4 linked regions of the Saccharomyces cerevisiae S288C genome follow. Changing the gene in region 1 together with any one later gene gives a genetic interaction. Each region holds a gene or a part of one and is shown in the gene's direction. Other genes may lie near its edges. The genes, in order: GYL1, YVC1, YPL039W and PAU24.

What was found.
Region 2: mutations in GYL1 (region 1) and YVC1 together harm fitness less than expected from each alone (positive genetic interaction), as found in Saccharomyces cerevisiae (one large-scale study listed by BioGRID).
Region 3: mutations in GYL1 (region 1) and YPL039W together harm fitness less than expected from each alone (positive genetic interaction), as found in Saccharomyces cerevisiae (one large-scale study listed by BioGRID).
Region 4: mutations in GYL1 (region 1) and PAU24 together harm fitness more than expected from each alone (negative genetic interaction), as found in Saccharomyces cerevisiae (one large-scale study listed by BioGRID).

What each region holds. Positions count from the first base shown.
Region 1 is NC_001145.3:645,378-651,824, forward strand, and holds GYL1 (Gyl1p), read left to right. Parts: upstream 1-1,740; coding exon 1,741-3,903; downstream 3,904-6,447. Other genes in the region: SPG5 (Spg5p), read left to right, coding at 279-1,400; mitochondrial 54S ribosomal protein bL28m MRPL24, read left to right, coding at 4,659-5,435; 60S ribosomal protein eL36 RPL36A, read left to right, coding at 5,768-5,783, 6,247-6,447. UniProt on the Saccharomyces cerevisiae protein: Probable GTPase-activating protein which stimulates the GTP hydrolysis rate by GYP5 of YPT1 and SEC4. Involved in ER to Golgi trafficking and polarized exocytosis.
Region 2 is NC_001147.6:484,955-491,525, forward strand, and holds YVC1 (Yvc1p), read left to right. Parts: upstream 1-2,752; coding exon 2,753-4,780; downstream 4,781-6,571. Other genes in the region: TCB1 (tricalbin), read right to left, coding at 1-1,825; Rab family GTPase VPS21, read right to left, coding at 5,242-5,874; type 2C protein phosphatase PTC5, read right to left, coding at 6,169-6,571. UniProt on the Saccharomyces cerevisiae protein: Required for release of calcium ions from the vacuole in response to hyperosmotic shock.
Region 3 is NC_001148.4:476,131-481,627, forward strand, and holds YPL039W (uncharacterized protein), read left to right. Parts: upstream 1-3,094; coding exon 3,095-4,045; downstream 4,046-5,497. Other genes in the region: isoleucine--tRNA ligase ISM1, read right to left, coding at 1-2,871; YPL038W-A (uncharacterized protein), read left to right, coding at 4,052-4,243; MET31 (Met31p), read left to right, coding at 4,405-4,938; EGD1 (Egd1p), read right to left, coding at 5,298-5,497.
Region 4 is NC_001134.8:806,680-811,312, forward strand, and holds PAU24 (seripauperin PAU24), read left to right. Parts: upstream 1-2,377; coding exon 2,378-2,740; downstream 2,741-4,633. Other genes in the region: alpha-glucosidase MAL32, read left to right, coding at 1-426; COS2 (Cos2p), read right to left, coding at 3,661-4,633. UniProt on the Saccharomyces cerevisiae protein: Component of the cell wall.

The sequences.
Region 1 (6,447 bases):
CACAAATCCGAAATGTATCACCAATGATCACCCAGCCTGCTAAGTGCCCTCTATTGATCCGTATATCAGCTTTTAGATCAGGCTCGAGTTTCTTGTTATATGTGCATTGCAAAAGCATAAACAAATCCTGGCAGCCGAAGCCGGGCAATCCACTTCGAAACGCACGGCTGAACTATATAAATATAAAGGACATGTGGAGAGAAGCTTCTCTTCCTTCACATTTCGCATTTCATGATCTAAAGTGGTTCTTTCACAATAGAAGAGCACCAACACGAAATATGGCTGTCGGTGGTAATAACTGGAGCATGTGGCTGCGAATGTCACGGGTCCACCTCAGGCAGATCACGAAGTCTCTGGACCGAACGCTGATCAGTTTGAGCCATGGGAATTTTTCCCACCAATATAATCGCAATATTTTTGTCACTTGGTGGAAGAGCCTATTTGAGGCTTCTACAGCTTTTAGGAGGGCAAGTGGTTTAACGGTATCTCCTCTCACGAGGAGAGGAATCGCAAGGTTTGACCATTTCAGACCTGTTCCCAATGTCAGTAAATTTGCTTCTTTTCCCAGAGTGCCCAAAGGAGCCCCAAGGGGCCTTTTTACCAACTGGAATATGACTACATCAAAGAGATTATTAGGGCAGAGAGCTTATTCGACTTCCAGTATCAAATTTACCCAAGAAGCCGTGAATAACATGACTATATCTTTGAGGTGTTTTTTCAACTCACTAGGCGGATTAAATCAGTGCTCCCACTCTAATTCCTGCAAAGCTTATCAGAATGCGTCTAATGTTACCTCTAAACAGGATCACGTCCAACCAGTTGCCCTTAAGAAGTTATCTCAAAAGGATATCAATTTCATTCGTAATTTAGAACTATTTAAGATAATGAAGACCCAGAATGAAGTCGTTGATGAAACAAGCGCATATTACATGGAAAAACCAGGTTCCTATATTGAATTTACCATTTCAGAATTTAACGTTAATGGGACATTCTCCGCACCTTTGTCATTTTTAGATCCTTCTTTGTTAGCGGATTTGGATGAAATGATTAGAAATTACAAATACGAATTAAAATCAATATACAGTAGTGTTGACATGATCTTGCAGAATTATGGATCATTGCCGATAACTTTTCATCGAAATAAGATTCGAATACATTTTCCAAACTCAACTGTGGTGGAAACAGAAAAACTAATTGCAGGTCTGAATATTGCTACGGGTGTTATTTACGCAGATACGTCTCCCGATATCAGTCTAGAAGGTACAAATTTGAATGCTCTGGTTAATGTTGACAATTCAGGAAGCGTATGGTCTTTTGTTAAGGAGCCCTCGTTTCCCTCTAGGAGCGCTTTTTCACCTATTTTATCAGATGCATCCTATGATACTTATGAATTGGTCTAGCAAAGACGTTGTTTCATCGCGCTATTACCAAGAAGGTTACTTTACTTGTTCTTGCACATGGACGCACGTTGTGTGTTCATATATATATATATATATATATATATATATTTGTGCTTGTTTTCATTGTCTCTATAGTTAATACATTCTATTTTTATCGTTATATTTGCATTCTCTTCGCATAAAAACTTCATGAAAATTCGGCAGAAAATAAGCCATATATGTACTTTATCCATAGGCAAAGAAAAGCACTTAACGAGAATATACAACAATTGCACTAGTACTGCATGTATATACTCTTATGATTATAGCGGCAAGAAAACAAATATAAACACACTAACAGATGAATTCGAATGAAGATATACATGAAGAACGCATTGAAGTTCCACGAACTCCCCATCAAACCCAGCCAGAGAAAGACTCTGATCGCATCGCTCTCAGGGATGAAATATCAGTACCAGAAGGCGATGAAAAAGCATATTCGGATGAGAAAGTAGAAATGGCAACCACAAATGCATCCAGTAACTTTGGCTCAAATGAAAGTGCAAAAGACGGCGAATCAATCGGCGCCTTTTCAAATCCCCATGAGGCTCTGATGCAGTCAAAATTGAGAGAAGAATCCCAGAGTAAAACCATACTACCATCCGATGACCTCAGCCAGCAATTAGAAACCGAAGAATCCAAAGTTGAAGAGGCTCTAAAAAGAATAACCTCACCCCCATTACCACCGAGGGCTGACTGCATAGAAGAATCTGCATCTGCTCTTAAATCCTCATTGCCTCCAGTGCTAGCAGGAAATAAAAATGATCAAGCCCCCCTTGACCGACCACAGTTACCTCCGAGGCAGGTAGTTAATGCGGAAACTCTTCATTTGAAGGCGCCCCATGGTAATGCGACTCCCTCCAAATCACCAACGAGTGCTGTAGGTAATTCTTCTTCATCGACCCCTCCAACCTTACCACCACGCCGTATAGAAGATCCTTTAGACTTGGCTGCTCAAAAACATTTCCTAGCGAGTACATTTAAGAGAAATATGCTCTTTTATAAAAGTGAAGATAACTCTATCAAATGTGATTTGGATAAAAATATACTAAATTTAAAAGAAGATTCAAAAAAAATTAACAACAATGAAATTCCTGAAGAGGTTAGTTCATTTTGGTTAAAGGTTATCGGCGACTATCAAAATATCTTAATAAACGATATCGAAACCTTACATTTCCAACTATCTCGAGGTATACCAGCCGCTTATCGATTGGTAGTCTGGCAGTTAGTAAGTTATGCAAAATCGAAATCCTTTGACCCTATATATGAAACGTATCTAACGGAAATGGCACCTTTTGACGTCCAGGAATTTGAAAATCAGCTAAAAATGATGGACGAAGTTCCCTCTGAATACGTAAAACGCATAAGTAATGTGTTAAAGGCTTATTTACTTTTTGACCCAGAGTGTGAGTTTTCTACCGACATTGCTTATATTATCAATATGATTCTTGACGTTTGCGAGGAGGAGGCAAATGCATTTGGTCTACTTGTACGCCTAATGAAAGTTTACGGTTTAAGACTCTTGTTCTTACCAAGTGCTTCTGAGATCGATATTCTTTGCTATAAATTTGATAGACTTGTAGAAGAATTTTATCCTGAAATTCACAACCACATGGTTGAAAAAGGCGTCCGTTCTTCCATGTTTTTGCCCGGTTTCTTCACGACACTGTTTCAAAAGAAACTTCCCACTGAAATTCAACCACGTATCGGTGATATGGTATTTTTAGAAGGTATTGACTCTATTATGAGAATTTTAGCCACACTTTTATCTAATTCCCGAGACCATCTGTTAAAAATGGGTTTTGATGATATGCTGGAGCTATTGAAATCAGGTCTGTTAGATGCTTATATTAAGCAGAATGATGGTACACGCGGTGACACTCTTCTCTCAAATGAATGTATGGATAAATTACTACAAGACTCTATGATGAAAGTAGCAATAACCCCAAAGACTATGAAGAAATATTCTTCTGAATATGAGGAAATTCACAGATTGGACAATGAAAAAGAAGTGCAATATAAGTCTATCACGGAAAAAAATTTACATTTACAAAAGCATGTTCGTAAATTAGAAAACGACTACACATCTTTAAATAGAGAGCATGTGACAATTGCGAACGAGTTAGTGAAAAATCGGCTTAATATCGAGTCTGTATTAAATGAAAATAATGGTTACAAACTTCAAATTTTAGATTTGAAGAAAAAGTTGGATTCAGAAAAAAAGAAGCAAGTTTTAGGTGTATATGTGCCCAATGATTTAAAGAAAGATTTGGAAGAGACAATGAAAAAGAATACCCAAGTAATGGACGAAAATTTGAAATTGCAGGATAGGATTTCAGAACTAGAAAGGCTTATTGAAGAAATAAAAACTGCAAACAAAAATGGTACGTTATTCGAATATTCTAATTCTAAAAATAATCCTTTGGGAGCCGGCTGGTCAGGATTTAAAAAGGTTTTTAAATAGTTAAACTGTGTATATCAGCTACTGCTCCCCTTGAATGATACATGACTAAATATAATGATAAATTTATTTCTTGATTTTTGATTATTTCATATTTTGTTGACATTTGAGAGCTTCAATTGTATAAAGTTGCAAGATAATATATGAGGTTAGGGAAGCCGGATAAAGAAAATAGAGTACTTTAAAACTGTTCATGGACTAAGAATTCAGTGACGATGAAGTAGTAAAGGAGAGTGTTTAGGATATAAATAAGACCGAGAAATTGTTAGTAAGCATTACTTCTAGCAGAAATAATGAACCACAATCGTGACAATATATACTCGAGTTAGCAGTTAACAGTAACCCTTTCCATACCATTCTAAACTTTGCAACAGTAAATATCTTGGCGTTTAACGTTTTATTTTATTCTACGTTTCTCAAATATCGGCTGTACTCATGTGGCACATCATGAAAAGAGCCTTCATATCAAGAATTCAAGAATTTTAATTACATCGTGACAACGGTTTCCTAAACTTTTAGTAAAAACAATTAAATGTGCAATTTTGTTGATTATACTGTGGACAAATTGAGCTTAGTACGTTTCCTTCTTCTCTTTCTGCAATTATATTTAATTAAATAATCTCGTATTCTCGCATCCGGGCACGCTTTGTGAAATTCATTTGAGAAACCAAAAACAGCTGATCAGCTAGAGCTATTAGAAGTTAGTGCCCAGGGGTATAGAAAAATCAGTTTAAGGAAGAAAAAGCTCACAGAAGAATATGCAAAAAATTTTCAGACCATTCCAATTAACGAGAGGCTTTACCTCTTCCGTAAAAAACTTCAGGCAATGGAGACTGATTGAAACAAGGAAGATTGCCAAACAACCGAACTACCAAGTTGGTGATGCTAAACCTTTACATATGCCAAAAGAAAGAAAGAAATTTCCAGATTACAAGTATGGGGAATCTAATATCTTCAAACAGAGTAACAAAGGTCTATATGGTGGATCTTTCGTTCAGTTTGGTAACAATATTTCTGAAAGTAAAGCCAAAACGAGGAAGAAGTGGTTGCCAAATGTTGTCAAAAAAGGTCTCTGGAGTGAGACTCTGAACAGAAAAATCAGTATCAAAATGACCGCTAAAGTTTTAAAAACAATCAGTAAAGAAGGAGGGATTGACAACTATTTAACAAAGGAAAAATCTGCAAGAATAAAAGAATTAGGGCCGACCGGATGGAAGCTTCGTTATAGGGTTTTAAAAAGAAAAGATGAAATAGAGAATCCCCCACATAAGGATGCACCTATCATAGAAATGGCTGGTGGTAAAAAGGCCAAAATTTACTATGATGAAATAGTAAACGGCTCACCAAGAAAAATATCAGTTGGAAGAAGAAGATTGATGTCATTTTTATATCCTTTAGAGAAATTGGAATATAGGTCAGTAGGGAAGGACCTGAACTACAAAAAATTTGTCGAGTTATTTGCCGACGTTCCAGTCAAGGATATCCTAGCTAGATTAGAGGATCATAAATTCGACTTATCCACCATCACCGTATAAAAGGAAGAAATAAAGAAGATAATTGCCATTCCGAAAATATCGTTGGTTTTCCCCTGTATATAAAAAAGCATATCTGTTTGTACATATGTAGGTATGCACACATTCTGAACATTATTGATGCGTATATGCTTGCTACATTAATTGGCAATTCATTTTTTAGACTGTTTTACACCCGTACATTTCACAGTTTTTTTTTGAAGTTAAATTCCAACTGAATGGAAGCCTCCGCTCCTATGAAATTTATTTGAAATCAGAGATTTCAGGATGTTGAACAGTATAGTACTGATTTACAAGTATCAAAGAAACAAGAAAGACAGCAAACACAATAAGAAATGACCGTTAAGACAGGTATGTGAGACATAAACAAGGAACTGAACGGGTTATGACGATTTTCGAACTTATAAAGGGGTTTACCCCAAATACGAGAAGAACATGAGTGCATTGAAAACTTAAAAGGAAACAAAAACAAGAATATTATATAATTTTGAGTGATTAATGACCAATGGAAATAGCCAGAGGAAAAATACCATTTAATATGCATACACAGGCTTATCTCTTCACTCCTATCTAAAAAACTATTGTGTTTGAAGATGAGGTCCATTTTACAAAAAGAATAGTATTGCGAAAACGCCTTCAAATGGAACATTTTAGTAGTTGCACCATTGTAAGAATTGCCATGGAAAACAATCACAAAAAGATGCTATACAAAGCCGTACATTATACGTCACTTCCCGCCGACACATATACACGTGTATATGTATGCCTATTTCACATGTTACTAACTGAAGACAACCTGTGTCCTTATATTTAGGAATTGCTATTGGTTTAAACAAAGGTAAGAAGGTCACTAGCATGACCCCAGCTCCAAAAATCTCTTACAAGAAAGGTGCTGCTTCCAACAGAACCAAGTTCGTAAGATCTTTGGTCAGAGAAATCGCTGGTTTGTCTCCATACGAAAGAAGATTGATTGATCTAATAAGAAACTCTGGTGAAAAGAGAGCTAGAAAGGTCG
Region 2 (6,571 bases), on another chromosome or scaffold:
TTTGAATGGTAGATCCAATTTCTTCTCCTTTGCCATCCTTGACGACAAACTTATATCTTGTTTTACGACGATCTGCAATAACTGCTTCGTAGTCTGAATTCCACTTCAATGTACCAGTGTCAGTTGCCTTACCAGTGGTTAACACTAGTTTAGCATTCAAGTAAACTTCAACGTAGGCAGTAACCTTCTGTTCTTCTTCAGCAAAACGAGAACCTTCTTCGACCACAACTTTAGCAATACCAGTATTCAAATCCGGTAGTTCCTCCACAGATCCATCCGGCAACTTTTTCTCTTCTAAAGTTGGGAAGAATCTTAAATCAAAAGTCAATTCCCCAACCGGTTTAGAGTTTCTTAAAAACTGAGCTTTCAAGTTTCTTTGCGTGGTTTTATCATGTAAAGTATTCAAGTTGTACTGAATTCTGCCTAGGACTTTATCCTTCAATTTTGCACGCTTATCATAAACACTAATGGTCAAGGGGTCAGTGAATGAGTTTAACAAGACGTACAGAGTTTCGTCCCAAACGGGGTTCAATGTGTCTCTTACGGTTCTTGTCTTGGCAATAGATATATCGTTAAATTCGAAAGATAAGTAAGGGTCGATTGATTCGTTCAATATCGAAGAGGTACGTTTTAGCCCCTTTGCATTTTTGACAGTTATTTCTAATATACCAATGGACAAGTTGGAACCAGATAAGAGTTGTGGAATGTTCAATTGTAAAGAAAATGGAGGTAACAAGATTGGACCCATATATTTCTTGGCCATCTTTTGTATTAGTGTCATAAGGCCTGGGATAGCTAAAATTTCCCAATTGAAGATGGAACGGCCGAATAAGGTAGCAACAAAATCAAAATCAGGAACCTTCAGTAGCTGGATATTAACAGTTTCGACATGAGGGAAGGGAGTCATCAATTTGAATTTCACTCTAGCATGAGCCTTGAAAGCAATGTCTGACACAGAAACAGGGATGGTGATACCAAAAATTTTGGCCTTAACAACCGCTAATTCATTAACGTAATTTCTGACTTGCTTAGCACTCATGTCGCATAAATCGTGAGGAGTAAAAGAAATACCCCAGTCCATCACAACAACATCGGATGCAGTGTTTTGGAAAGTCTTCACCAAATCAACTCTGGGGGGTTTAACACCAAGTGTCAACTCATCGATCCATAGTTGAGTAATAAATTTGGGAATCGCCTCATTAGTAGCCATTTGTTCATTAGCTTGCTGAACGATTAATTGACTAACGGAAGGTTCTAAAATGGGCCAGTACTTATCCAAAAAGGCATTCAACCATTCTAGGGATTCATAGTCGTTTTCCACTTTCTGCACCGTGAACTCTTTCTGGACTAACTCTCTTATGGAACCTCTGTATTTTTTAGCAGAGGTTCTATACAACAATGAAGTGATAACGATGACAAAAAAGGCCGACCCCATTGAAAACTTATAATGACCAAGTGCAAATGATGCCACGCCTCCGATAAAGAAAATGGCTACCGAATGATACCAGTCACCGTAAAGGCTGTCCGGTATGATGTTATCTAAGAAGGTTTCTCTAGTCATATCCATCAATTCATCATCTAAAGTTAATTCGTCTTTGTCTTCCCAGCCACCAATCTGTTTCCAGCCGACATAAGAAGCTTCATGGATACTTCTCTTGAAGCTTTCATCACTAGCATGTGCCGCCTTCTCAGATGACACGCTTTTACTGGATTCGGTTTCCTCTTTCGTCTTTGGAGGTTCTAACTTATCTATCCCATTTATGTTAGCTACTTGGGCTGTTTCGGGCTTCTTTGGTGCTGTTACCCCAGTATCTTCTTTGGCCATATTGTATGTACCACGCAATTGAAGTTTTCAGAATGCACTAGCTATCTTTTTTTATCTTAGCTATTCTTCTTCAATTATCCTACTTATTCTTCAGCAAAAAAAAAATAATAAGCTAAGACAATGCTATACAAGTCAATTACCAGCCAGTAAGTCCAAATTGGAGTAGCCAATGCTATTAGTTGATAATTTTGACGGCCGATTATACTATTCCAATTGCAGCAACATCCCTGTCCCTTAGCTTTTTGAGGGGCCTTTTGTTATAATTTTTCATGCAGCATTCCGGTCGCCAAAGTTGTTATCACTTCTAACGTAAATCGTTTTCTCGTTATGTCCGCTATTTTAGAATGAGAATAATGGATAAAATTGGCCTAAAAAGGGAGCGAGTATAACGTTACTGAGATACAATTGTACATTTTGCCATGGAAATGAGCCAACTAGTCTAATGAGATTTTCAATGCTTTATTTCTTTTTTTAGTTTCTCATTTTATTGTTTCTCTAGTTATTAGTCCTTTGGTTATTTTTATGTCACCACCTCTTGTCACATGACCATTTTTGTTACTTGCTTGGTTTTACAATGATTTATACATTCTTGGGCCTCTCTTGACATATTTTTATCGTCATAATAAGTTCTTCATTCGTTCTCTAAAACAACAAAGTTAGACTCCATGGCCAAGTTGGTTAAGGCGTGCGACTGTTAATCGCAAGATCGTGAGTTCAACCCTCACTGGGGTCGTTAATTTTTTAATTTTTCTCCTACACTGTTGCTATGTCGGAGTTATCTCATAAGAGCTGAAAATATGTGGTAAATTTAGTCAGTATCCTTCGAGGATCAGCTAGAGCCTATTCAATGCAATTGTCATTAATCAGTGGCTTGGTAAGGCAATAGAATTCAGTTATAAAATATAATATTACTAGAACAGGAGCATTATGGTATCAGCCAACGGCGACTTGCACTTGCCAATTTCTAACGAACAGTGCATGCCGGAAAACAATGGATCTCTTGGATTTGAGGCCCCCACTCCGAGACAGATTCTCAGGGTTACGTTAAATTTGAAATACTTAATTGATAAGGTCGTACCTATTGTTTACGATCCCAATGATATTGTTTGTGACCATTCTGAGATTTTATCTCCAAAAGTTGTGAAGCTGGCTTATGAAGCATGTGGCGGGAACCCTAAAGACAAGGCCAACAAAAGAAAATATCAATCTGTCATTATTTTTTCACTTCTTAAAGTTTGTGAGTGGTATTCCATATTGGCCACTATGGAAGTGCACAATGCCAAACTTTACGAAACCAGAAATTTAGCCTCACAACAGTTATGTAAATTGTTAATTGAAAGGGAGGAGACAAGAGACCTGCAGTTTCTTTTCATGCAGTTACTGCTGCGTCGGTACGTAATCAACGAGAACGATGAAGATCAAGAACCGTTGAATGCCTTGGAACTTGCCACAGATATGCACTGTACTACAGTGATAGGATCGAGTGGATTTCAGCGTTGTTTAAAATGGATATGGAGAGGATGGATAGTCCAAAATGGCTTGGATCCCACAACTTTTATCAAGGACGATTCACTGGCGGAAGTGTCATTGATCTCTCATTTCAACCCCGTAAGATTAAAGGCGCCTGTATACCAAAATTATTTGCAGATGATCTTCTCATTTTTGTTTCTAGGGCTTTATACCTTGGTGGTTAATGGTAAGGACTCTGAGAGAGTCCAATCTTTCGATTTGTTAGAAAGCATATTTTATGTTTTCAATACTGGTTTCATCTTGGATGAGCTCACTAAGCTTTATTATATTGGTTATGCGCACCTATCGTTTTGGAATTTATTTAATGATACCACATATTTGATAATCACGTTTGCTATGGGGTTCCGTGCAATGAGCGTAACGCCCCTTAATGCAAAATACTCTTCAGAAGATTGGGATAAAATATCATATAGAGTCTTATCCTGTGCAGCACCATTTGTGTGGTCGAGACTCCTACTATACCTTGAATCACAAAGGTTTATTGGGATTATGTTGGTTATCCTAAAACATATGATGAAAGAATCCATTGTATTTTTCTTCCTTCTATTCTTAATAATGATAGGATTCACTCAAGGTTTCTTAGGTTTGGATTCCGCAGATGGTAAGAGAGATATCACCGGACCCATCCTGGGTAATTTAACAATCACCGTTTTGGGTCTTGGTAGTTTTGATGTTTTCGAAGAATTCGCTCCCCCATATGCGGCAATACTGTATTATGGTTACTATTTTATTGTTTCGGTTATCCTTTTGAATATATTAATTGCTTTGTATTCGACTGCGTACCAAAAAGTTATTGACAATGCAGATGACGAGTACATGGCTTTGATGTCACAAAAGACGTTGAGATACATTAGAGCACCTGATGAAGATGTCTATGTTTCTCCATTGAACTTAATTGAAGTGTTCATGACACCTATCTTTCGTATTCTTCCACCGAAGCGTGCTAAAGATTTGAGCTATACTGTAATGACAATAGTGTACAGCCCATTTTTGTTGCTTATTTCTGTTAAAGAAACTCGGGAGGCTAGAAGGATAAAATATAACAGGATGAAAAGGTTAAACGATGATGCCAATGAATATGATACTCCATGGGATTTGACAGATGGCTACTTGGATGATGATGACGGTTTGTTTTCTGATAACCGAAATTCTGGCATGAGAGCCACCCAGTTAAAGAATTCCCGTTCGCTAAAACTGCAAAGAACAGCAGAGCAGGAAGATGTCCATTTTAAAGTCCCTAAGAAGTGGTATAAAAACGTTAAAAAATGCAGTCCCTCCTTCGAACAGTATGATAACGATGACACTGAAGATGATGCTGGTGAAGATAAAGATGAAGTCAAAGAGCTCACTAAGAAAGTGGAAAACTTGACAGCTGTAATTACCGATCTACTCGAAAAATTAGACATAAAGGATAAGAAAGAGTAAACGACATGTGTTCAAATACTGCTTAATTAATTTCTCAGAAATCCATATATATATATATATATTGCTCCTCATTGCAACTTTGTAAATTTAATGTTCCTTTAATTTATCATTATTTACAATATTAACTAATCCATCTCCCGATTTTCGGCATAAAATAAGTTTATATTTTGGTCTACATGAAAACAAAAGTTTAACTAAACTAACGTGTACAAACCACTTTGAAACGTATATAAAGGTCTAATAAAAACGACTGGCGTTTTGAAAGATAATATAATGATCTAATGCAGTTAAAAAATTTACAAATTATAAGAAGAAAAGAAAAACAACGATTACGGTAAAAAATGAAAACTCCCTCTCCTTTCTAGGTACGATAAATTATGACTTTCATCTTTCCCGTTTTGAAGATCTATTTATCTCAATTTGCCCAGACTTTTTTTTTATATATATTTATTTTCCCCTCTCTAACAACTGCAAGCACTGTTTGCGCTGGTCCCATCATTAGCAGCGTTCAAATCCACTCTTTGATTGTTCGACTCACGTTCGTTACTTGCACTATTTTGCTCTTCAGCCGTCTTCAGTGGTATCTTTTCACCGATTCCCAAAAATACATCGTTAACATTCTCTCCTGTCTTTGCACTTGTTTCAAAGAACAACAAGCCCTTTTCTTCCGCTAGCTTTTCACCTTCTTCCCTTGCGACTTTTCTTTCCCCACCTTCTTGCAGCATATCGATCTTGTTACCAACTAACGCAATGATGATATCCTTTGATGCCTGTTCATGTAATTCCTTAACCCAGTGGCGCGCTTTAATAAAGGATTGTGGTTTTGTAACGTCGTATACTACAAGAGCAGCTTGTGCGTTTCTATAGTACATAGGTGCTAAAGATGCAAATCTCTCTTGCCCAGCAGTGTCCCATATTTCAAACTTAACAGTATGTTCATTTATAGTAACTCTTTGAGTGAGGAATGCTGCACCAATGGTGGGCTCCTTATTTTCGGCAAAATCATTAGATACAAACCTTAGGACTATTGACGATTTACCAACTGCTGCCTCACCCAACAGTACCAACTTTATGGAAGTGACTGATGTGTTCATTTTTTTGTGTGATAAAAGGGATATTTTTTTATAGCTTAGATAAGTCGACGATCTTGCTTTTTATTTTTAAAATCGTTGCCACTTTTATAAGATAAGCTGCTCGTATTTTCACCTCACTTCTCTTTCTTTGTCTTTTCGGGGATATTGTTTTAGCAAAAAGCCCCATAATGCAAACCGAGAAAACCAAAAAAAAAAAAAACACGTATGAGGTGACAAGAAACTAGATAATCAGCAGACTAATATCTATAAAATAAATCCTCTGGTATATACCTACCTCAGCATAAGTTTATATCGTCATAATCTAGGTTTTGGCTTTGTTGTTGCCTCCGGGTTCATAACTATTGAAGTAGCATTGGAGACAATTGAGGGTGTTCCAGAATCACCAAAGAACGCCACTGTTACTGTCAAGTCATCTCTGTATCTTCTACTCATCGGCGATGGTATACTTACCAATGCCGATACATATTCTTTTCTTCCGCCCGCACTTAATGCATTTCTAATTAAATGAGTGGCGACGTTTTTGTCTTCAATAAGATACTCTGGGTTTGATCCTGATGGTGAGCTCGAATTATTATCCTTGTACCTGAATGCCGGTCTTTGTGCTTCCTTGTCTTCAGATACATCGATAACTTTTGGTAATTTCCCCGGTTCTGCCTTCACAGGTGCCAGATTCATATTTTTATCCATCCACCTGATA
Region 3 (5,497 bases), on another chromosome or scaffold:
CAATTCAATAGTTGGTAGACTGTTATTATTATCGTCCATTTGCAATATATCAACAGCAGATGATTGCAATATGTCGCAAAGCTCGTCAGAACTGAATGGGAGGTGATGCTTGGTGAAAATGGTAACGTGACTATGTGTTGTTTTGGTGACACCTTCTTCTAGACTTAACCTCTTGAATTCCTCCTGGAACTGTTTTAGAATTTTTAGTTCAAAGTTTTCAAAGGAGGTGACGATTTCCGTATTTGAGTCCAAAAACGGCCATTTTCCACGCATCGGATTAATGTCTATATGTTCTTGTCCTTGTAACCATCCTTCTGGTATATACTTCCATACTTCTTGGACCATAACGGGTAATATTGGTGCAAGAATTGCCCTATATGCATTTAGTATATGGACAAGCGTTGTTTGGACCTGCCTTCTTGCCAATGACGATATTTGGTTGGAATATAAAATATCCTTTGAGATATCAAAATAAAACGCCGATAGCTCGTTATTTAAATGATATTGTAGAGTAATGAGAACCTTGGAAAAGTTGTACTTTTGGTAGTGTTCTCTCGTCGTTTCCAGCAGTTCGTTTATCTTATACAAGGTATATTGATCAACACGGCGTAATTGTTCAATCGGCAAAAGGTTGAAATCTTGGGACTTCTGTAAATTACTCAATAAATAGCGAAAAGTTAGTCTAACCTTTTTTAGAGCTTCTCCTACATGTTTCATCACAGTCGGGCCAGCAACTATATCAGTTGTGAAATTCGATTGTGCTATCAGATACCTCAAGCCATCAACACCCAAAGCTGGTAAGCCTAAGTTTTCATCGCCTCGAATTATTGCTTCGGGAGAAATTGTATTTCCCACAGATTTTGACATTTTCAGACCATTCTCATCTAGGGTAAAACCATGAGTAATCACTTCTTCATATGGTGCAACAGGGACATTACTTGATGCTACTTTTGTTAGCAGTGAACTTTGAAACCATCCTCTATGTTGATCAGATCCTTCTAGACAAACTTGGTACAGGGGGGATGGGAGTTTTGACAACTTTAAGCTTTTTTCATAAAAGTCTTTGATCACACTCCATGACGACCCACTATCAAACCACACATCCATAGTATCTTGAGAACGACAGTATTCATGCGCTACGTCGTGATATTTTTCTGGCAACCATTCTTTCATGTCATTATCTTTATCGTTAAACCATGCATTAATTCCTTTTTGTTTGATTTTTTCTATGGCATGTGCCAAAATTTCTGAATTCATCAAAACAGAATCCGGTTCGCTCTTCTTGTAAAAGCTTAATATAGGGATACCCCATGAGCGTTGCCTAGATATGCACCATTCATTTCTGCTTTTCATAAAGGATGAAAGTCTTGAATAGCCTCTTTTAGGACAAAACTTGACGCGGCTGATGCTTTCCAGAGCCAAGTTTTTTACATCGTGTAAATCTGCAAACCACTGTGGAGTAGCTCTTATTATGACAGGTTTCTTGGATCTCCAGTCGTACGGATAAGAATGCGTGTATTCGTGAGATTTGTAAAGTAAATTAAGGTCGCTTAACTTACATAGAATGATTTTCGCGGTTTCGGCATCCAATACTTGCCTACCTTTTGTTAAGTCTCCTTCATCTCTCACGATGGATCTGACGGACTGAGGAAGTTCATTTAATTGGTAGCGGCCCTGGTGATCCACGGGAGAATAAATTTCAAGACCATTTTGAATACCAATGAGATAGTCATCCTGTCCATGCCCTGGTGCTGTATGAACCAATCCAGTCCCTGTACCGCTGGTAACGTGTGCACCATGTAATAAGGGCCTGCCAACCTTATCGTCTACTAAGAGGTTTTGATAATATAGCCCATTTAGATGAGTTCCTTGAAACTGTTTGATAGTCTCAAATGAGTTAGTTGTTAGGCCCAATTTATCAATGGAGCCGGTCTCTACAAGGATAAGTTCACTATTTAAGCGTAATAGGGAGTAGGAAAAATCCTGATTGAAACAGATTGCTCGATTAGAGAGAAGAGTCCATGGAGTACTGGTCCAAATCAAACAGTATATAGGCAAGTTATTCGTTATTCCTAGTTTTTTGCACAGATCCATCTGGGATTTCTTTTCAAGAGGAAATTTAACATAAGCAGCGATGGATTTATGGTTTTCATTATATTCTAATTCGCCCTCTGCTAACGCTGTTCTAGTTTCTGTACCCCAGTAAACCGGTTTGTTCTGTCTCTTAATCAGTCCTCTTTCGTACATTTCTTTAAAAATATTTAGCTGATTAATTTCATAGTCTTTATCCATTGTTAGGTATGGTGTTTCCCAGTCCGTTAAGATGGCAAAATGTTGGAAAGTTTCCCTTTGCCTCTTGATTGCCTTTTGTGCATGTTTTAAAGCCATTGACCTGATTTTTAAAGGCGATATTGACTCGATCTGTTGCGCGCTTAAATCTTTCAAAGCTTTAATCTCGATGGGTAGTCCATGACAATCCCAGCCAGGCTTATAAAAAATGTACTTCCCCTGTGAAAGTTGATATCTGTTTATGATATCTTTCAGAATTTTATTTAGAGCATGACCGAGATGGAGCTCGCCGTTGGCATAGGGCGGTCCATCATGTAAGATGAACAACTTTTCTTTAATGAACTCTAATTTTTCATCAGTCGTATTAAGCTTTGAAAATTCTTCGAAGAAATCACGTAGCTGCTCCTTGTAAACTAACTGCGAAGATTTTGGTATTAATTCCCTCAATGTAATCTCTAAGTTTGATCTATTAGGGAATTTGGTCTTGGGCAAGTTTAATGTTTTTTGGTAGGCATGTTTGGCGAGATATCGCTTGCTAATAATGCTAAAGATATGTTGAGGCACAAGCCTGGAGCGCTTCATAAGTAGCTAAAGATCGTTCTTAGTATACTGTGTTCCATAACTTCTAGCCTTGGTCCTTTATATTTGCTGTTTTTCTGCGTTTCTTAACTCGCTTGCGGAAAAAGAATCGACATTTTCAGAACAGGATTTTATTGTTTTTAAAGTACATTATATGGGGCGACACATCATCGCCATCTATGTTAAATATTTAAAGAATACGGGGTAGAATTATTCACGCTGGGGGATGCTGAAAGAGGAGTATAATTTGAGCGGTGCTGATAACATGGCATCTGCTGAGTTGTCATTTAAAAAGCAAAAAGTGGTATTGAAAAAGTTCATGATAGCGCAAGTGACTAAGGGGATTATGCAGCGGTATGCGAGCCTATTAGTTACCATGCCTAGTGATGATGACAATGCAATTATTGGCACAAATCATTTGAAAACAACCAAATTTTTAGAAATAATCCTACACAGAGCCAAATCATCGCATTTACAGTTCAAAAAGGTCTGTTGCATTGTCATCAAGTTTCTAGATTGCTGCTCGAAGGAAACTAACTACATGAAGTTTTTAAAGTTCAGCTTACACAAACTATTTGTAGCTGCTTTCATCTTAAGTGTGCCAAATGTTGTAGGCGATGACCGCGACAGGATTACCACGAGGGATGAAACCTATCATCTCTATTCCCAGATAACAGGCTTGCCACTGGAAGAAGTGATAAATTGTTGTTCTATTGTGAGGCCTGTACTTATTCGGCGGAGTAGACAACAACGCAGGCAAATGTTATCTCGACGTGAACAACATTCGTACTTCCTCAGAAGTTCTTTTATGAACTCCAATTCATCAGCATCACCTTTTTTCTCTACCAATAGGTCAGCTGATGATCTACATGTACATACAAGGGCATACTCGCTTCATAGCCATTCCGATGGGGAAGGCCAAGATAGGCGGTCGGAACATGAAGAAACGCATAGCATGGGGGCTGATGCCGATACATATCGACAAACTACGTTTATCCCAGACACACCAAATGGTTTGCATTCTAGATCATTAATTGAGTGTGGGATCGAACCCACCCAAGTAAGTGACTCTGGTGAATGGTCGGGTCAAAGTAACGGATATGTTTTGGTGACAGAATTACAGGAGTTTAACAAAATGGGTAAAAAGTTAGTACAAGAAGCTTTTAGGATAGTTTAATAAAGTATGGTTTGTCGTTTTGTTCATCATTCAAGGGTCATTTTTATTTCCATTTATGATTTCTTGAGTACAAAAGGCAAAAAAAACATGTATAATTATACACAAGAAAAAAAAACAAAACAAAAGAACACTTTCACACAAGCAAGTATATATTATGAGAATTTTTTCGAGTCTTACAGAACCATATCTTGCCTCTAAATTTTAGTCTAAAAATTTTGCTAGCCCATCAATTTTTTTTTTGTTCTAATGCAAAATATAACATGGGTAAGAAAAAGAAAAAGCCGTTCCTCAGTACGTAAAGAGATTTGATCATTAACAAGTTGGGCTCAATATACACAGTCGATAGTCTATATGTGCATATGAAACTGGCGCAAGACATGAATGTAGATGAAATATTTCTCAAACAAGCGGCAGAAGCTATAGCGGTAATCTCATCAAGTCCCACTCATACGGACCCCATAATACGAGAGCTACTCCACAGAATTCGACAATCCAGCCCATTGAGCGCAGTTATACCAGCACCAGAAAATGTTTTAAAGGCTGGGGAGCCGGAAAATATGGCTAGAGGTCTTATAAGGATTCCAGAAACACAAACAAAAAGAACAGGAGGTAACAACCATAGCAAGGAAGGCGCACAGCTCTACAGCTGTGCGAAATGTCAGTTGAAATTCAGCAGAAGTTCTGATCTGAGAAGACATGAAAAGGTACACTCACTCGTGCTGCCGCATATTTGCTCAAACTGTGGCAAAGGGTTTGCCAGGAAGGATGCTCTAAAAAGACATTCTAACACACTGACCTGTCAAAGAAACAGAAAGAAACTAAGTGAAGGTTCAGACGTTGATGTAGATGAGCTCATCAAGGATGCGATAAAGAATGGTACCGGCCTGTTGTAAGGCTAGAGGAAAACGTATTTGTCTCCATCAGCACACCTACACATACATATATAGATAGATATATACTTTAGCCATTGAGATAAGTAGAATAAAAAAACGTTGTAATATTCCGATACAGTTAGTGACATGTTCTCTACTTTTGCCAATTTTTTGCGCACAAAGTGGTGACGTACAAGTTCATCATTTCACGTGTGCAGCATAGTGTGGTATATTGTTTTTTTATATTTTATTTTTTATTTTTTTTTTTTTGCAGAAAACAGTGTTTGTATTATATGCTTTAGATATGCTAAAAAAAATGAAAAAAAATGGAACAAAATATGTGTTTTTTTATTTAACGTTAAAATTAAAGATTAAGTTATTTATTCGACGTCAGCATCAAAAGTTTGACCTTCAACTAACTCTGGAATAGCTTCATCCTTCTTTTCAGCATCAGCTGGAGCCTTGGCTTCGTGCTTTTCCATTTGGGCAGCCAATTGAGACAAGGCTTGGATGGCTTCAGGGCCCAATTGAGAGATAATACCTGGGAACAAATCTTGCAAGTTCTTTTCCTGTGGTAGAC
Region 4 (4,633 bases), on another chromosome or scaffold:
ACTCCCATGCCATGGACGAAAGATAAGCCCAATGCTGGATTTACTGGCCCAGATGTTAAACCTTGGTTTTTCTTGAATGAATCTTTTGAGCAAGGAATCAATGTTGAGCAGGAATCCAGAGATGATGACTCAGTTCTCAATTTTTGGAAAAGGGCCTTGCAAGCCAGAAAGAAATATAAGGAACTTATGATTTATGGTTACGATTTCCAATTCATTGATTTAGACAGTGACCAGATCTTTAGCTTCACTAAAGAGTACGAAGACAAGACGCTGTTTGCTGCTTTGAATTTCAGTGGCGAAGAAATTGAATTCAGCCTCCCAAGAGAAGGTGCTTCTTTATCTTTTATTCTTGGAAATTATGATGATACTGACGTTTCCTCCAGAGTTTTGAAACCATGGGAAGGTAGAATCTACCTCGTCAAATAAAATTAGTGCCGACTTTTTTTTAGCGCGTACTTTAACGAAATAACAGATGATTTTTCACATGATTTTTGTTAGATAAATTTTTTATATGTAAATGATGATAACGTAAAAGCACTGTTGATAATTTGTTTCACCATTATGGGTAAATGTGTTTTTCTACATGATCCTCGTTCATTATGATATTTAGCGTGTATATAAATGTGAATTCCAAATTATTAATGAAGCATAAGAAGCACTATCCTTTCTCTTCGGATGAAAACAAGGGAGAAGAAACCTGTGCTGGTATTAATGCTGGAATGTCTTGCTAAGAATCATACAAGGTGGTAGTTTTATTTAATAAAGAAAAGAAAAGGACTAGATATAAAAAGTGAAATGAATATAAGATAGCGTTAAGAGATGCCCACAGTACTTGACACATAATTTAGCGTTTTCTCGGGAAGCTCTGTGATTTTATGATTCAATAACACAGCGTAATTGATTTCGTGATGGTTCGATCCTATATGTAATCTCATGTAACACTCAGGCGAGTTACAAAATCGATTCAACATTGCCGGCTTATGCGTTTACGTCAAGTCTGAGCATGCCTACCCCCTTCCGAACCCGCCTTTTATTGTCTAGCCTTCAGATGAACTAAACCAATCATCTGTCCATAATCCATATGCTTTAGACAGTGTGATTAAGCAAAAGAAAATAAGCGCATAAGAATCTTGCTACTTCGGTAACTCTACAACATTAACACCCCACAATCAATATATAAAAGCCAACGAAGTGAAGAGAAGAGGTGGAATGACGCTCTTATCCTTTGAGAAATTTGACTACGAAAATCTGTGTCCCCTATGCCATTAGTTATTGAGCTATAACTATATATCAGAGAAGTGTAGTTATTCTTCAGCAACGGGCCTATAATCTGGATACGTATGATTACTTATCGCTGTAATAATTGTAAATTCCTGGAAGAAAAACACATGACCAGAATGATAGACATATTGAAACGGTGAATAAAAGGGAGAAAAAGGCTTAAAGGCTTTCTGTATTAGTAACACTAAGCCCTCTATCAATTTCATCCAAACAGAAAGACTGCAGGTACATCCATAGGATAGAAGTTCTGTATGTAAGCCGCCACTTTTTGTCTCCTTCACTTACCATATAATGAATAGAGAAACGTAGACCTAGGCGGCAACCGTTGCCTAACATACGAAGCGCTGGTGCTGTTCTCCGATTATTAGTATTACAAAAAAAATTATATAATACTTATTAAGATGTTGATTTATCAATTTCCGGTATAGTTTCCGGTATGGCCAGCTTGATCCAGTGGAAGTTCCGCTGTTTCAGAACTAGGGCTTCGTAGCACCTCGAATGCTCATTTATTCTTGTCAACATTTTTGCTGGCAGTGTATAAGACTGTAGGCACCTACAATATACGACTCCGGTATTCGATAAGTCTTTCACTTTCTATTTTAAGAAAAACAGAATCGACAATTTTCCCGTAGCAACCGTTTAGAGCACAAAGATTAGGTGGCCTCTTAACGAGGGTTCAAAGCAAATTTGGTTTTGGCTTTTTCTTGGCCAAAAGCTGCAGCTGCATCTCTGAAGGCACCCTAAAGGGATTCTTCGGAAGTATGTACACTGTGAGAAAACATTCTTGTGCCTTGGAAATGCAATAAAAGGTATAGGCACTATGAAGCGTGCGCCTCGTATACGGGACCTATGAAAGACGCATCGTTCAAGTACAGAAGCACCGTAATAATATGAATAATGAATGTGGGATGAAAATTGTACACTGAGGCATTTTAGGTGAGAGATGGGTGCCAGATGATAACTCGTTTGTGCCAGGGAAGTTGGCAAGACATTCATATAAATAGAGCTGCTGTAGCTATCCATCTTTGAGGTATGCGCTTTCATTTCACTATTTCTTGTTAAGCTTACATCAGCACTAAAAAACAAAACAAATACAATGGTCAAACTAACTTCAATCGCTGCTGGTGTTGCCGCCATCGCTGCTACTGCTTCCGCAACCACCACTCTAGCTCAATCTGACGAAAGAGTCAACTTGGTTGAATTGGGTGTCTACGTCTCTGATATCAGAGCTCACTTGGCCCAATACTACTCTTTCCAAGTCGCTCATCCAACTGAAACCTACCCAGTTGAAATCGCTGAAGCCGTTTTCAACTACGGTGACTTCACCACCATGTTGACCGGTATTGCCCCAGACCAAGTGACCAGAATGATCACCGGTGTCCCATGGTACTCCAGCAGATTAAAGCCAGCCATCTCTAGTGCTCTATCCAAGGACGGTATCTACACTATCGCAAACTAGAGACTGATGCCTTTACGAATGAAATTCCATAAACCTTAAGAAATAACGGAAAAAAAAAAAAAAGCTTTTTTTTTTTTTGATAGTATAAATAGTTGATTATATGTAAGTGTATATTAATATTGTTACTACTGGTCAATCGTGATATTTATGAACAACTTGGCGGAGCAAGGACAAGAATCCTCTCTTCCTTTTGTGGTATTCTTCGATGTGTGTCCACTTCAACGACATGGGTCATCAATATCTATGTTAAAAAATCATATTTTAGACTCACTTGCTAGTAAACCGGTTGATGCTATTGTTAATATATAACGACAAATGTTCAAGCAATTATATAACCATTTTCTTCCATATTCACCTTAAACGAGGTCGCCTTTATTTTTTTTTTTTTTTTTTTCAGGGCATCGATCGGCCCGGAGTCGTCGCCTTCAAATGTGTCAAATTTTTAAGATTAAAGTTATCGATCTTGAAGTTTTTCGTGGCAGGAGGGTTTCTATTTAGTGTTCAATAAAGGCTTTCATGAGCTTTTGTATATTCCTTGATTAACAATAAATGTGGAAAACAAGAAGGGTAATTGTGAAAGAGTCCGATTGTAGTTGATGAACAGTAAAATCACTTATTATTTAAGGATTCCGCTGCGGTATGCGTTTTCTACTGATGTGTGGAGCAAGCCACGCCATGTGATTAACCTTGCTTGATAAAAACACAAACCATCGTTCAGAATATGCATGGAATATAGCATCACTGGGAGGAGAAAGACAATAAGTTTTGCGCATATGGTAGGATGGTGGCACATCGAGTTCTCTCAACCAGTGAGAAATAGGGAAAAAGAAAATGGTTGTAATGGTAAAAAGTAGTCTCGTTTTGGTAATTCGCAGCTGACAAACTACAAAATATATAAATTGAAAAAGTTGTATTTATCTCTACACTAAGAGCACCTCACTGCGGGATAATTGCGCTTCTTTAATGTATGGCCATAGTTCCACATTCAATGGTAAAGGCCACATAGATTTCTTCGCAGATAGAACGCGGTAGAAGAAGTGGTTAAAAAACCATTCACAGTCAATCCCGTCGAAGAAAAACTCTTCATTCTTCCAGGCTTTTTTCTCAAACAAGTACCTATTCATTTTCCTTGCAATTTCGTCCCATCCATTCGCACCACTTTCTTGCTCATTTATAATAGTCGACAAGAACTGCATCTTGTGTTCCATGCTCATAATCAAAACCCTTATATTTTGGAAACCTTGTACCAACATGAAAAGAATCCACCCGAGATACAAGGTGCGTAATAGAAGGCACATTCCCCGTGACACATATATGCAGCACAAAAAATTAAGGAATGGTATCAACATAAAAATATTGGAAATCCTCTTTAAAAACCAAGTAAGCTTAAATCGGTAAGCTTCCTTGGGAAGTTTAGCATCTTCCAGGCCAACAGGGCTCCATGATTTTTCAGTATTAAACAATTTCCATTGTTTTTCAACTTCTGTAAAATAAACTCCCAATGCTTCTTCAATGTAAGGGACGGAATCCTTAAATGACTTAACCTTGGCAGCTTTATCTTTTTTCAAAGAAAATGGTTCGAGAAGGGTTGTTCTGAACGCTTCTTGACAGACCATGGCATTGAAAAAAAAGTACTTAGTATTCCAAACGTTATTTTCATATAAGTACGAATTTAGATTTGCTGCAACAACTTCCCAATCATGAGGATCAGAACTTGGTGTGTTTTCAGTAATCTCTTTGCAAAACTGAATGAGTTGTTTCGATAAGGAACGCTTACGAGAAAGTCCACAAATAACAAGGACAAATATTGGTCCCAGAAACAGGACCAGAAGTGAAACTATAAGTGGGTAAATACAATTGTTGGAAAGTTTCCACCAGACGCTAAGTGGTAGC